2 linked regions of the Coturnix japonica genome follow. The protein of the gene in region 2 purifies or fractionates together with the protein of the main gene of each other region. This does not show direct contact. Links are inferred from orthologs where the notes say so. Each region holds a gene or a part of one and is shown on either strand. Other genes may lie near its edges. The genes, in order: desmoglein-2 and JUP.

What was found.
Region 1: the proteins of JUP (region 2) and desmoglein-2 purify together in Homo sapiens (affinity purification with western blotting; 3 studies listed by BioGRID and IntAct, with this or other methods). This does not show direct contact. The link is inferred for Coturnix japonica from reciprocal best matches to the Homo sapiens genes JUP and DSG2.

The regions. Positions count from the first base shown.
Region 1 is NC_029517.1:95,849,662-95,856,961, reverse strand, and holds part of desmoglein-2, read right to left. Parts: intron 4,148-7,300; coding exon 4,112-4,147; intron 3,545-4,111; coding exon 3,410-3,544; intron 2,731-3,409; coding exon 2,572-2,730; intron 2,326-2,571; coding exon 2,181-2,325; intron 967-2,180; coding exon 806-966; intron 40-805; coding exon 1-39.
Region 2 is NC_029542.1:4,304,155-4,311,907, forward strand, and holds the start of JUP (junction plakoglobin), read right to left. Parts: upstream 4,204-7,753; 5' UTR 4,106-4,203; intron 1-4,105. Other genes in the region: P3H4 (endoplasmic reticulum protein SC65), read right to left, coding at 5,697-5,707, 5,788-5,923, 6,095-6,178, 6,261-6,406, 6,507-6,635, 6,698-6,869, 7,114-7,263. UniProt on the Homo sapiens protein: Common junctional plaque protein. The membrane-associated plaques are architectural elements in an important strategic position to influence the arrangement and function of both the cytoskeleton and the cells within the tissue.

The sequences.
Region 1 (7,300 bases), on a different chromosome or scaffold from region 2:
GTCCTTCCCTTCCACCACCAAAGAATAGCTACTTTGTGTCTGTCATAATTAGCAAAGAAAAAGGAAGAAGTGTTAAACTAGTCTAAATCTGTGTTGCCTTACTGTATTACCTGTGCCTTATTTTGTCAAAATCTCTCAAGCAATGGCCAATTTATACATAGCTCTTCCTACTGGAGTAAAGCTGAGTCTCAGAAAAGGGTTTGGGAGTTTTGCATTTTCCTCCCAAAGAGTTAGACTGTGCTCAAATACAAAAGTGGAAAAATTTCAGTAGCCACAAAGAGGATGCAGCAATACCTGCACATTAAGAAAAGGATGGTGTCTGCAGCCTCTGAGAGCTAATATAAAGATCACCATCTGCTGGTCAGTGAAAATACATGCAAGCATAGGGAAAGTTGCCAACAATATCTGGCTTTCGACACACTCACAGCAGCACCATCACTTATCCTTTAGGACCTGATTTGTACAGCAGTCTACAAAAGTCTAGATTCAACCAGCAGCTTTACAGGTGGTGACCTGGGTGTTCTACCCACAGGCACACCAGCAAAGAGACAACACCCCTGTGTCATGTAACTGCTGCCCAGCTGCACGGAAGGGACAGAAAACAACAGCCAGCAACTGGCATTGTGAGAAAAAAAGAGACAGGGTGAAAGCAAGCTTTACCTCATCCCCTCACAAAGCCACTGGAAAACATACATTCGACAGACAAGGAATGGTCCTTTAAACCCAACTGGGATGAAGGAAAGTGAAAAGTGATAAAAGGTACCAGAAGAATACTATCAACAGAGAATGTTTGTTTTTTTTTTACCTCTCTGTCAAGGTTTATTGCTGCTACTCGAACCTCGCCAGTATCTTTATTCATACTGAATGCAGAACTTGGGCTTTGGGAAATGATCCTGAAAGCAATTTTGGAATTCAGGTTATTTGGTTCATCTGCATCCGTTGCATTTAACCTCATCACAATTGTACCTGAAAAAAACCACAACACAATACAATACTTGGTTACGCTGCCATGCACTGGCAAGTATTTTTACTGTAATGCCACAGGTAGGAGTGTGCTGCCAGATGCAATGCACAATTTTCTGATGCCCCTACCTCTGCTAATTTAATAGAGCTGAAAAAGTGTTCTTGAAAAACAATTTATGTTAAAAAATCACAAACAAAAATTACCCTATCAACACAGATCTGAAGGCTGTAGAATTCAATTCATTACAACTATCCAACGAGTTGAACTCTCACAAGAGTTCTGACAGAAAACTTTAGATACTGTATAAAGAAGATGGCAACATAATTCAGACAGTAAATTGCGTTTCCCTCATATATCATCCTAAAGGAAGCTGGACAACTTTTGTACATGAACATCAATACAACATCTGCTCTTTACTGACTGATGCCCTCCAACTGCTTAATTCAAAATAAATGGTAGCCTCCATGCTGCAGGCCCCTTATGTGCACGACACAGGATATTTTACTTGGAAAGGGCCTACGTCAATGTCCAGCACTATTACCTGGCTTTGAGCACCAGCTGGAATTCAGGAAGAGAGACAGTTACCATATGGCTGTTACTGACTTGAAAGGCAGCTGCGGGAACTTAATACCTCAAACAAATGGATGGTCAGTAATTTCTATCTTCAGATTACCATGGCATTGAAATGGACGTAGTATCAGGTATTTATTAGGACATTTTACTCTGGGAAACAGTCTATTGCACCAAGACCTGTTCTTATGTTTACTGTCATTAATAAGAAAATTGACAACAACTTGTTCTCTCTCAATATTAAAGTGCTTCTCCAGACTATTAAATGAAGGAGAACTTTTCTTAATCACAGCAGAGCTGAGTGCCTCCAAAATAGGCTGGAATTGCTAGGACAGAAGATGGATGGAATTCTCCATGCAGTGTCTACTTAAGGACTACAGTCCTTGGCTTGATGTCAGCTTTGACCCAAAAACAAAGTTGGCATAAGAGGAAGTCTTGTTCTCTGTTGCTTTTATGCACATGCTTTCCCTTCACCACACTGCACAACTCAGCCCTGAATAAAAGCATGCATTCAAACTTGGATAACCTGTCCTACACAAGCAAGATAATGCACTATTGTTACTACAGATATGCTGCTGCAATGGCTACATTCACTTTCTGAATGAGTTCAGAAAAGGTAAATTAGAAAAAAAAAAATAAATGTTACCTGTTTCACTTAATTCTTCAATTGAACCAACAAAAACTTCATGTGAAAACACTGGAGGATTGTCATTTATATCTAGAACTCTAATTGGGAGGTCTATTGGCTCTTCCAGTTTTGCTCCTGTCTTGTCTAGAGCATGACCTCGCAACTGAAATAATTCAGAGACAATAAGAAAATGAGTGACTGTAATACATATATGTGAGTACGGATACAATTTAAATATATAGCAACATTATATATAACAATATTAGCAGTTATATATATGTGCATATACACAAACACACACATTTATATATATATGTCCAGAAATGTTAAAACTTCTTGAAATAATAAATATTTTTATTAAAAAAGGAAAGAAGAGCACTTATGAGGGTAAAGTTAATATTCAACTTACTAATAGCCTTGGAGTCTTTTCTCTGTCAACCCTCCCTGTGATGTTCAAGTCTCCGGTCTTTCCATTGATAACAAACAGTCCATAAGGGGGTTCTGTAACTCCTTGACCAGATATAGTATAAGTTACCACGATCCCTGTGTCTTCAAGATCAGAATGTATCTAGTAGGAACATGATAGAGTAAATAGTAATTGGTAAATAAAACCGTGTTTAAAAAGACACAATCTTTTAGCTATTTTCATAATGATCAAACAAAAATTAGTATTAAATACAGTTTTTCTACATTGTTTACAGTGCGTAGATGCTGAGAGAAGAAAAAGTTATGTGGTCTCTTTGAAGATCTAGTCCAAGGGAGATTAGGAATGTGACAGACAGTGCAACAGCTGGGAACCACAGAACAGAGAGGTCTGTGGGAGAAGAAAACTCTGACTACTTGGACAAAGAAAGCTGGATGGCATACAAGTTCAAGGAAGAGTCTGACTGCTCCACATACACCCTTCTGTCCAATCACCACCAGCAGTTTTAGGAGCTGCTAGCCAACCTGAACCAGAGCTGAGTAATTCTGGTAGGGTGGTAGAGTGAAAAAAATTCAAAAACAACTGCATTTCCAAAAGCATTAAGAAAATTGTTGAGTGGGAAAAGATGAGAGACTCAGTCAAATCAGGCTTCAAGAGTAACTCATCTTCAGAAGGAAACTGAACGAAATGTGCCAGTCTTCTACTAGTATTCAATAGTTCATTAAAATTAAAGAAACATCTGTGTCTGTGGTTAGGGCAGCCACATCTTTATTTTATAATTTCATCTCTGTGTATTCTGTATTTATCTCTTTTCGGGGCTTACTCTAGCAATTGGATTCCTATAGGAATTGTCTTCCTCTTCCCGTATGAAAGCAGGAGGGACTGTCCATTCTCGCTTCTGTCTGACTGGGCTGTTGGGATGAGATGATGCGCCATGCCTGCCACTTCGATTGTAAATCTGTGAAAAAAACAAAGCTAAACGTCAGCATAACATCTGGTCATTTAAGATACGGTGCTTTATTGCTGTGCTAGTCCAGGTTATACACTGTTACAATACTAATTTTGAAATCACAGAGCAGTACTACCATTCTGAAGCACAATTTAAAACTATACATTCCTGAAGTTGTTTGAAGAGAAAAACTTCAGCGATTTTTTAATCAAGACAGACATATAAAGCACAAGGTTTAAATACACAGGCATGTTCACACGACCAGGGTATGCTGATAATACACCCATTCTGGCAGATTTAAGTGCTTGTCACCAGATGTGGAATGAAGTTTGCCACTGATACTGCTGTAGACAACTATTTCTGCCTTATGCTGTTTAGTGTCCCATCAATACTGACCAGTACTCAGCTTCTTCTGTAATACAGGATACATGCAATAAGAAACCCATTCACTGTCTCAGCTATCCTTGGCCAGCTACCCCTCATTCCCACTGACACTTCTTCCTCCTCCTGTCCTGCTGGTTTCCAGATCCATCTTCAGGCCTTCAGGCACTTATAAAGAAAAGCATTAACTCCTACCTTCCAATGGAGTCCATTTCCACAACTGAGACAGATCTGTAATGAAAGTCATGATAATTATTAATTCAGGGTCACTTTAGCAGTACATTTCTTTATCCACTAAGAGCCCTGGATAGCTATGCATGCCCCAAGACACTGCAATTAGGTGTCTCTTGTTAAATGTAAGAAATTGGATCCTCAGTCAAATTATCAGAGATCCTGTGTTTGCATTCCCTGATGCTCCAAAGGTGATTTTTATTGACCTAAGGCCTAAGGAAAAGTAGGCTTAGAGAAGTGATTTTCTATTGAAGTCAGTAAACCATAGAATCACAGGGCTTGGAAGGGACCTCTAAAGATCATCTAGTTACCTGCTATAGCAGGTTCCCTACCGTAGGTTGCACAGACAGGCATCTGGGTAGGTTCTAAATACCACCAGAGGAGGAGACTCTACCACCTTTCTGGGCATCCTGTGCCAGTGCTCTGTCATCCTTGCAGCAGAGATCTTTCTCATGTTCAGGTGGCAATTCCTGTGGTCCAGTTTGTGTCCCTAGCCCCTTGTTCTGTCACTGAAAGGAGAATGACTGTATCCAATTGACTCCCACCCATTTGATATTTACAAGCATTGGCAAGATCCCCCAGGTCTTCTCTTCTTCAGGCTAAACAGTTCCAGGTGTCTCAGCCTTCTCCCATCTAGGCCACTCATCATCTTTGTGGCCCTCTGTTGGACTCTACAAATTCTCTGTCCTGCTTGAGCTGAGGAGCCCAGAACTGGATGTAGTACTCCAAATGTGGCCTCACAAGAGCAGAGTACAAGGGGAGCATCACTTTTCTCTTTTCTGCTGGCCACTTGATTACTGCTGCCCAGGTGCAGGACTCTATCCTTGCTTTTGTTGAACCTTATAAGGCTCCTCTCTGCTTAACTCTCCAACCTGTCCAGGTCTCCCTGAACAGCAGCACAGCCTCCTGGTGTGTCAGCCACTCCACCCAGCTTTGTATCATCAGCAAGCTAGCTGAGGGTGGATTTTATCCCTTCATCCAGGCCACTGAGAATATGTTAAATACTTTAAATCTTCTCTTTGATTGGTTTTTAAACTGCTAACTGGGCTTTAACTATTCATCCCTTCAGTCTCACATTGATTGCTACATCGTAGCTTGATAGAATATTTTCATTCCCTCTTTCTCACACAACACTACACAGCAGTGGACAAGGTTGGGAAAAGTAGCAGGAGAGCAGTTTCTTTGTATCAGAAGCCTGAAAACCACAATGTAAACTAAAGTGTCTGAAGTTTGCAAATATCTCAGTGGACTAAGATAAAAGAGCCATCAAGGAAGTAGAGAAAATCCCGTTAGTCATTAGAAGTAGAGTCCTATAAAAGAGCCTCAAGCATTCTGCTCTCTTGCTAAAAAAGATGATTTTGGTTCTTTGCTTTTTAACCTATAATAGTTTGTGGTCTATAGGCAACCCCCTAAGGAAGTTTAAAGAGATCTAAAATAGGTGTTTAAAAATGGCAATTTCATTTTTGAGATGCAAGAGATACATCTGGAAGATGTATTTTTCAATATACTACAACTGCCTTCTATTAAGTGGCTTAGTAGGGAAAACCCCCATCTGTCACTTGGTGTGAATCACAGCCTCAGCACAAAAACCCAGATGTCTACTGATGAAATCTATTGATGACATGGAGCTGGGAAGGCACTGGCAAAAGACAATTGGATTGTTACAGAAAATTAGTCAGAAAACCTGAAGCCTGAAGTAAGAAAAATGGAATGAAATACTGCTGGAAAGCAGCTGGAATGGGTGAGGCAGCAGGGGAAAAGGAGGGAGTGACTGACATGTATAGGGAGTTCAAGGCTGCTCTTGCACAAATGCCTGCTCATGTCTTGGGAAGGAAGTGACTGCAGAGACAGATTTTGAACACACAGCTTCATTTTATACTGGAAAGATGCAGAATGAGTAAGCAAGGTGTATACGCCTATTTGCTTTGCTATGAAACTAGAAACCCTATAAATGTGGTCTTGTCACATGTTGTGCAGGTCAGTTTCATGTTGAAGACCACTGGAAAGTGGACATCCTGCACACTTACAAAAGTGGGCTGAAAGGACATCGGAGGTTATCTCTGAGTCCATCTCCCTGCCCTAGGGCAGGATGAGTAACATCCATCTGCTGCCTAACATCTGTTTAACCTGTTTCTAAAAACCAGTGATGGAGATCACAGCATTGCTGCTGAGAGCATAACAGTGCCAAAGTAAAGCTTTGTGGGCTTTACTTCAGACTAGAATTTGCTTGACACCATGGAATAAACAGCCACAGAAGTGATGGAAACATCTCTCAGGACAGTTTCAGTCTCAAAGGGTCAGACTGACACACTCCGGAGATTTGCTTCAGAAGCACAGTTTGATCCAATCAAATATGTGCATCCTACATCCACTGCATGTGTTTCCTATAACAGACACCAAAACAGCTACACTGAAATGTCTTAATCACAAGCTGAATCTCTCTCTTTGTCACGTAGATAACGTAACTAGGAAACAGTACAACTCCCTCTTCATGACAGTCACCTTTCACATATAAGAAAACTTCTCATCCACCCAGATCCTCCCCAGAACTTTCTCTCCTCCAGGCTGAACAGCCCCAGCTCTCTCAGCCTCTCCTTGTAGGGAGGTGCTCCATCCCTTGTATCATTTTTGTGGCCCTCCTCTGGATGTGCTCCAACAGGTCTATGTCTCTCCTGTACCGAGGACTCTACATCTAGATTCAGCACTTCAGGTGAGGCCTCACCAATGCAGAGTAGAAAGGCAGGATCACCTCCCTCACCCTGCTGGCTATGCTTCTTTTCATACAGGCTGATGTTATGGATATAGATCACGGGTACTGAGGGAACACAGTCAACAAATAGATGCTTCCAGGAAAAACAGGAAAGGAAGAACCTGTATTTTTTCTGCAAGCATTTTGCTTTTTAGTCAGTTCTTTGTGTTTTCCAATTATCAGTGTCTTATTTGCATGTCTTTTGACACCAGTGACTCCAGTTGAATGCTCACAGAAGCAGCTACTTTCACCCGCAACAATCGTTTCATCTTGGTTAAAAACCACCACACGCAAGAATACACACACAAAAAGGGAACACTCCACAGTTCTTCTCTCTCCTGTCACCAACAAAGCAGGGCAGTTTTAGTTCCTGAAATATCACATCCTGCTTTAAAACTGTAAGG
Region 2 (7,753 bases):
CAGAGCCCCACATCTCCGCCCCACAGAGCAGCTGCTGACAGCTCCAGCACAGGCAAGTGTGGGCTGTCATGTTCTTGCACTGCCAGCACGAGGGGACAAGGTGCTCTGCTGCACATTCCTCTGCCGTGACAGCACACACAGCACCGCCACACATCAGCTCCCAGCACGGGGCCGTCTGTGTCTCTATCAATTCCCACCAAATCCAGATGTGATGCTGAGCTATTGGTGCAGCCCCATTGCACACACTGTGGGCAAAGCTCAGCTCCCCCTCCAGCTCCATCAGCACCCACAACCCCCCCCCCTCCCCACGGCTCTGCCCACATTGGGGACCCTCACAACCCACACGGGACCGTGGCCGCTGTCCTGGCTCGCTCCCAGGTGAAGAACAGCTCTGGGCCTCCCTCCGCCCTCAGCGCCAACACCCATCCCTGCCATGAGCAGGAGCCGCTCCCGCACGTGGAACCAGCGTCCCACCCCACCCTGCCCCATCCTGGGAACCGCGCAGGGATCCCGCACTGCCGCCCCAGCCCCCTCCCCACTAAGCAGCCCAGCAGGGGAGGTGCCCCCCAGCCCAGCAGGGCACAGCCCTCAGCCAGCAGAGGTGGCACGTCTCATTACAGACACGGGTGGGGAGGATGGGAGCTCCCCATTTGTCCGTGACAGGAGAGCTGGCACGGTGCAATCAATCCCAACAGCTCCATCTGGATAAGAAAAGAAATGTTTTGTTTTAGAGAGCACCAGGAACAAATTGTCCTTCAGGAACGCAATAATTGCAGCTTTTAGGATTTCAGCTTGGAGGCTCATGTGTGTTTCCAGCAAGAATAATGGTGTCCAATGGCACAGGGCTCTGCCACCCCAGATCTGCCAGCAGAGCAGGGCTGAGGGCTGCTGCGCCCCAGCTTCATTTCCCCATCCAACTGCATTACATCTGCAAAGTTCAAATGCTTCACAGGGAATTATCGCCAACACCCGTCAGCACACGGCCTGTCGGAGCAGGTTAATGATTTGTCACCAGGGCTCGGCTGGGTGTCACTGCGATTACAGCAGCGCTCGCACAGCAGCCAAAGGTCTCTGCCACCAGCAAAGTGAACGCTCCTGCCCTGCCATCCCAGCCCTGTGTCTGCACAAAGCAGCACGGCAACGCATCCCTGAGACGGCGGGGATGTGGGTAAAGGAGTGGGATTGCTGCTGGCACCGAGGTGGGGACTGGCACAGCCCTGCCAGCATGGAGCAGCTGTGCCACCACCCAGCAGCATCGGCTGCCTCACAGTGCCAGGGCTCCGCACTGTGCTGGAGGAGCTCAGTGCCAGCACCTGCCCCCCCCCAGCAATGCCCCCAACAGACCCCTGCCCAATGCATGGCGATGATGCCACGAGGCCGATTGCAGCCTTAGCTGCAGTGCTGCACGACCCCCCCTGTGCATCTCCGCAGCACTGGGGGAATGGGTCAGGTCAGCAGGTGTGGGATATTCAGAGAGCACTGAGCATCCCATGGCAGCCCCAGCACAGCTCAGCGCCCCGAGCCACCAGGAGCTCCGCTCCAGCACAAGGCTCCTGCCCTTTGCATGGAGGGATTTTAGATCCGAGCAATTCAAGCATTATGAAATGCCTCCAGGCCTGTCAGCAGCTGCAGAAAAACCAATCGGGGATGGCAGATTTGGAGAGATATCTCAAGCCTGTCTAATTAGAAACATCTTGCCCCTCACTCCTCCTGTATTCCCCTCACCACCCTTACAAAGCACAGTGCACTGCACACAAGGGGGGAGCATAGACAGCTCTCACCCCATGGAGGCAGGAGGATGCACTGGCCCAGGAGGCTCCTGAGCCCAAAGCCAGCACAGAGTGAGCACACAGTAAGGACAAACCCCAGGATGCACTGAAGGACTGATGTAGCATGGAGGGGAGCGGGGGGAGGAGGGGGTGATGAAGCACACACAGCATTGCCCCCCCCACCACTGGACCCCAAAGCTTTGGGTGCACTGCACCACCCCTGCAGCATGTGGGCCTCGGGAGCACTGAGCAGAGCAGGCAGCAACACGCCAAGCGTGGCATCCAGGGCTGTGCTGGGCCGTCCTTGAGCTGGCAGCACAGGATGCAGCTTTGGAGCACTCTGCAGCTCAGCTCTGGCCAGCAGCACTGTAAGCACAGATGTGTTTTTAAGCTGCTTAGGTCAAGTTTTAAGACTTCTTTGGCAGCCTCTCCCATGCACAGACAGCGTGCCTGCTCCATCCCCAAACACCCAACCCTGTCCCTGGGAAACGGGGTAAACCCAACCCTGGTGGAGCTGGAAATGCTGCATCAGCTCAAGTGCTGCATCCTCCAGGGCTGACTGCGAGCCAGGCGCTGCCAGCAGGGCACAGCCCCGTGGGGGACACCCCAGGTCCCAGGAGACCAACTGGGACCCACAGCTGCCACCCAGACCCCATTTGCTGCCTATCCCAGGCACAGCCCTAAAGCACCGAGGTGGGAAAACACCACCTAAAACAAGAGTCAGAGCTGGCAACTGTGCCACAAGAAGTCCAAGGCAGACTTGCAGTGCTTCAATAGAAATGAAACTTCTTTTTAACTCCTGCTAATTAGAAGCCAGCCTAATTTCAAATTTCAGGAGCAGCATGAGCTGTGGTACAGACACCTCAATTAGAGCCCTGTGAGCTCCCCATGCAGACCCTGTACTGCAGCCCCACAGCGCAGCTCCTCCCTGCGGGCTGCCAACTGCACCCCCCAACCGGCTGGGGGTCTGATGGGGGAACAAGGAAGGATTCCCAGGAGGAGGAGGGCAGCACCCGACCTTCATGTACAGCTCAGAGGCGAAACGCTCCGTGGTCTCCAGGTGTGAACAAACCACGGGCAGTGGTGCCAACGGCACAGCCCACGGGGACCCACATGTGGACGGGGCACGAGGTGCTTCATGCCGGCATCCCCGCTGTCCCCAGGGGAGTGGCTGCAGCACCAGACAATGGAATGGGAGCCATTGTTTGTGGGGGCGGGGGGGGTTGGGGCGGCCTGCAGCCCCCCCCACGCTTCCGCCAGCGCTTCCCCACCGCCGGAGTCGGGCAGCTGCAGCTCAGCCCCCCCCAGCAGCTCCTCATCGCCCAGCGAGCGGCACCAGAACCGGGGATAAAACGACCCCCGGCCACCGCCACCCGGGCTTTGCGCAGGCGCGTCCTGTGCCCACCTGTTAAAGCCGAGTTCGCTGCCAAATGGGTTTTTCAAACCACTTTGTGGAAATCCTCCAAAGCGGTGAACAATTACGGCCTTCGGAGGTGGAAGGACCTTAATGGCTGCTCCGCTCCGCACACTGCCCCGCCGCACGCCCACAAGGACACGGGAGGGGATCCGCGCCCCCCACCGACGGACCAAACTGCGGGTGGGAAGGGGACGGAGCAGGGACAGAGAAGGGACGGAGCAGGGACAGCCCCGGAGCGGGGACAGGGGGGGCCCGGGGATACCAGCACCGGGGAGGGCACGGCAGGACGCGGGGACAGCGCTGAGGTCAGCACGGCTCCGTCCCGGCCCGGGCTGCGCCCCGGGAGCCGCCCACGCTCCCACCGCGTCCCCCCGCGCACAACCCACGCCTTCCTCCGCGGGCAACTCCCAGCAGCGGCCCCGCGTCGTGCTTTAATCTGCGCCGATTAATTAAACTAATCACCCAGCGAACGCAACGAGAACGTGACGACGATACGAGCCGGTCGCTCCCCGCTCAGTTCCGCTGCCCCGACGTTCGGTGTCAGCGCGGCGGGATGAACAGGAGCCGCTTCATTAACCCCCCCGTCCCCGTTCCCCTCCCGCAGCCCGTCCCGCTCCCCGGGGCTGCTCGGGGCAGGTGAGCGGCTCCGCCGGAACAACCACCCGGGGCAGCGCCCAGCGGCAGCACCGGAACCGCACGGGGCCGGTTGGGCCGAACCGAACCGAGCCCGGCGGTGAGCGCAGCCCCGGGGCTGCTCGGGACCGGTCGGACGGGATGAGCGCAGCCGGGCGCGGCGCTGCCCCGGGGGGGGGGGGCGGTAACAGCCCGACACCGCGCGGAGCCCGGAGCCCCTCGATGCCGGGACCCCCCAGCCCAGGCCCCCCCCCCTCGCCCCCCGCCCGCCCCCCCCGTCTCTCACCTCTCCCGGTTCCCGCAGCTCTGCCGCCCGCCCCGCTCCCGCACGAACAAAAGGCGAACGGCGCCCCGCCCCGCCTGGCCCCGCCCCTCACAGCGCTGCCCGCTTGCCATTGGTTCTTCTTCCCGTCCGTCTTCGCCGCTGCTGACCGGGCCCCGCCCCCTCCCCGTGTTTATCCGCTCGCCATTGGCGGGGAGGAGACCGCCCCCCGCGCGCCGGGAGCTGATTGGGCGGCGGGGCGGGGCGGGGGCGGGGCGAGGGCGGGTGGGGAAGGGCGTGAGCGCACCGAGGGCCCACCTGGGTGACGTCACGGGGCGGAGCCGGGAGGGTTCGAACGGGACCGAACCGGGTCGGGACAACGGGGGGAAAATGGAGGGGGGGAAAATGGAGGGGGGTAAATGGAGGGGGGGCGGGGGGCGGCACTGCGGGTCGGAGCGGGGGAGACACGCAGCTGGAGCAGGGCGGGGAGCGGCAGCGCCCATCCCACCCCATCCCATAATATCCCATAATATCCCATAATATCCCATCCCATCCCACCCCTCCCCATCCCATTCTATATCCTATTCTGTCCCCATCCCATTACATCCAATTGTATCCCATCCCATCCCATCCCATCCCATAATATCCCACCCCATCCCGTCCCATCCCGTCCCGTCCCGCCCCATCCCGTCCCTTCCCTCGCCCGCGGCTCACGCCGTGATTCAGCCTCTCGGTTTCAGTCACCGCAGCCAAGTCCCGGCGGAGCCTCGTGCTGCCAACAGCTCGACGGCCGCCAGGCACAAAGCAGCGCCGTGGCTGCACCAGCGGCCGCCCAGCACCCACCGCCCGGCCTGGGGGTCCCGACCCGACCGACCCCCCCCCAGATGGTCTTTCATGGCACTTGTGTCCGTCCCGATTTGCTCCGGGCAGAGGCGGCCGTCAAAAGAGCGGACCGAGTTTTATTCCAAGTTCAGCACCAGAACGTTTAAAATACAAAATAAACGAGCGAAAAATATAAAAGCGAGATGGGAAGTATTAAATTAATGGAGCTTAAAGCTCTGGGGGCTGCTGGGAGAGAGATGAAGGCACTTGTGGGGCAGAGGTGGTGACGGGGTACAGTGGCACAGGGATGCCGTGCACCAGGAGCAGCACCCAGCACCGAGACGGGGGGAAGGGGCGGCTCTGGGAGCTGCCGGTGGGGGTGGGCTGCTGCCAGAACCAGCACCGTGCACAGAACCCATAAGGCAGCACAGGGGTTTGCTGTTGGCCCCCTGGTCAGTGGCTCCTGGGGGAGCAATGAAGGGGCACAGCAAATCTCAGTGCTGCTATGGAGCGCTACTATGGGGCTCCCAGGGACATCGGGGCTGGGGGGGCTCAGGGGGCACCAGGCAGGTGGTGGCACAGTGGTGCGGCTGCTCCTCGGATGGGAATTATGGCAGCATGTCCCTGTAGATGGGGCAGTTCTGCTGGGAGCACTGGGCAGGATCAGCCCTTCCCAGTGAACCCGTGTTCCCGTGCATGGAGCAAGAGCCTGCAGCCTGGAGGCCCCAGAATGGCACCACTCGGCCACCACCATCCTGCTCCGTCAGGGCCAGAGTCCCCTTCTCCTGGCACATCACAGCGTCTCTGCAAACAGAGGGGATGGTAACACTGGGATGCAGCAGCAGCCCCCCTCCAGCTTTGCATCACAGTCCCCAGTCAGGAACCTTCGTCTGCTTTGTCCCCCTTGGTGCTGGGCTCCTGCCACCACTCTGCGAAGAATCCCTCCTCATAGTCCCCTTCACCCTCAAACTCGCTGTCTGAAGGCAGATCCTGCAGGTCCTCTCCATCATCCACCTCCATCTGCAGCACAGGGTGGGATAGCATAGATAGACCATGGATAGCATGTCATAGATCATATTTCTATCATGATAATCTTTTGTACAGAACATCTGTTCACCTATTGTCTGTATAACTGCACAGGTACCCACAGCCCCCACCTGCATGGGACCCCCAGAAGTGGCCGTCACCCACCTCATCATCAGCCTGCAGGTATTGCCTGGCGAACTCCAGCATCTTCTTCTGCGCAGCTGTGCGGTTGTAGTAGTGCACGGCTTCCTGGGCACAGGGTGGGGGAGCGGGGACCATGTCAGCCCCCATTTGAGCAGAGCCCCATGGCAGGGGCTGGGGGGGCTCTCACCGGCCGGGGCTCAAAATCCTCCTCCTGCAGGTGCCAGCGCTCGCGGTGGAAGCGATAGTACACCAAGTTCTGCTGCATCACCGCGTCATCCGGGTCGAAGAGCATGTAGCTGGAGACGCTGCGCACCGCATCCCGCACGTCATTCACTGCAAGGAGCAGAGTGAGACATGGGGGTGACATGGAGGGTGACACCCAGCCCTGGGACCCCCCAGGGGCTCAGGCCCCCAGCCCCCAGCCCACACTCACGCTTGTAGTAGGCGAACTGCAGGTAGTGGTACATGGTGGCCACGAACTTCTCCACGAAGTAGCCGCCCACGTTGGGGGTGAGCTCGCCCTCACAGCCCACCTTGCAGCGCAGCACGCTCACATAGTGGTCTGGGAACAGGTGTCAGCCATTGCCCCGCATCACCCCCCCCCCCCCCCCACTGCCCACCTACCTGCGATGGCCGGGTAAAAGTCCTTGAACTCCTGCAGCTCGTAGGCGCCCTCGCAGCCAGCCAGGCAGTCCTCGTACGCCTTGTAGTACTCAGCCAGAGCCTGCTCCATGTCAGCTGCACTGCTCCTGAAATCCCCGTTGTTGTACAGCTTCACTGAGCGCACAAAGATGGGCTGTGGGACCAAGAGGGCTCTGCTCACCTCCCTGCTGGGTTCCAGGCCCCGTGCCCAGCCCCATAGCAGATGGCTCAGCCCCCAGAGCTGTTCTGTGCCTGGCAGACACAGCTCCATCCCTGGCACCAGCCCCAGAGATGCTTTTTGGAGCAGGAAGGTGGGGGTGCTGGGGCTCTGCTGGGCACACACCAACCCTGTGGGATGCTCCTCTTCCTTCTCCCGCCCCGGCCTGTCCCCTCCTTACCTCATAGGGCTGAGCCTCCAGGTCCACGAGGTATTCATCCACATCCACCATCGTCCTGTAGTAGTTCAGGTATTTCAGGGTCATCTCATGCTTGGGGTTCTTCTGCAGGAAGGTGTGAGCAGCAGACACCGCCTTCTCGATCTTGTTGGACTGTGGAGAGAGGGGGTGGTGTGTGGGGCTGCAGGGACGGTGCTGGGATGTGTCCCAGGGCAGGATGTTCTCCCGGGATGGGGCAGCCCCAACACCCATCGCTCACTGGCAAGGAAGGATGGGCAGGTGTGGGCAGGGCAGGTACATCCCATTGATGGACAGTGCAGCCCCTCTGACAGCGACCCACGTGGCATGGGTTTGTCAGACTCTCCTCCAGCCCCACTGCCAGCTCAACAGCTGCCCCCACTCTGCTGCTGCTTCTATGAGCTCTCAGGTTGCAACTTCCGAGAAGCAAAGCTGGAGGGGTTGGACGAACCATCCCTTAAACGGATTTTAGCCAGAGCAACCGAGAGGAAAATGCATTAAGTATCCAGGTCAGGACATTCCTCGTCACTGCGGGTTGAGTGGGGCCACAGCACTGAGGAGCAAAGCAGCCACGCTCCACCAGCTGGGACAGCCCCGTGTCCCCCTCCCCAGGCAATGTTCCACC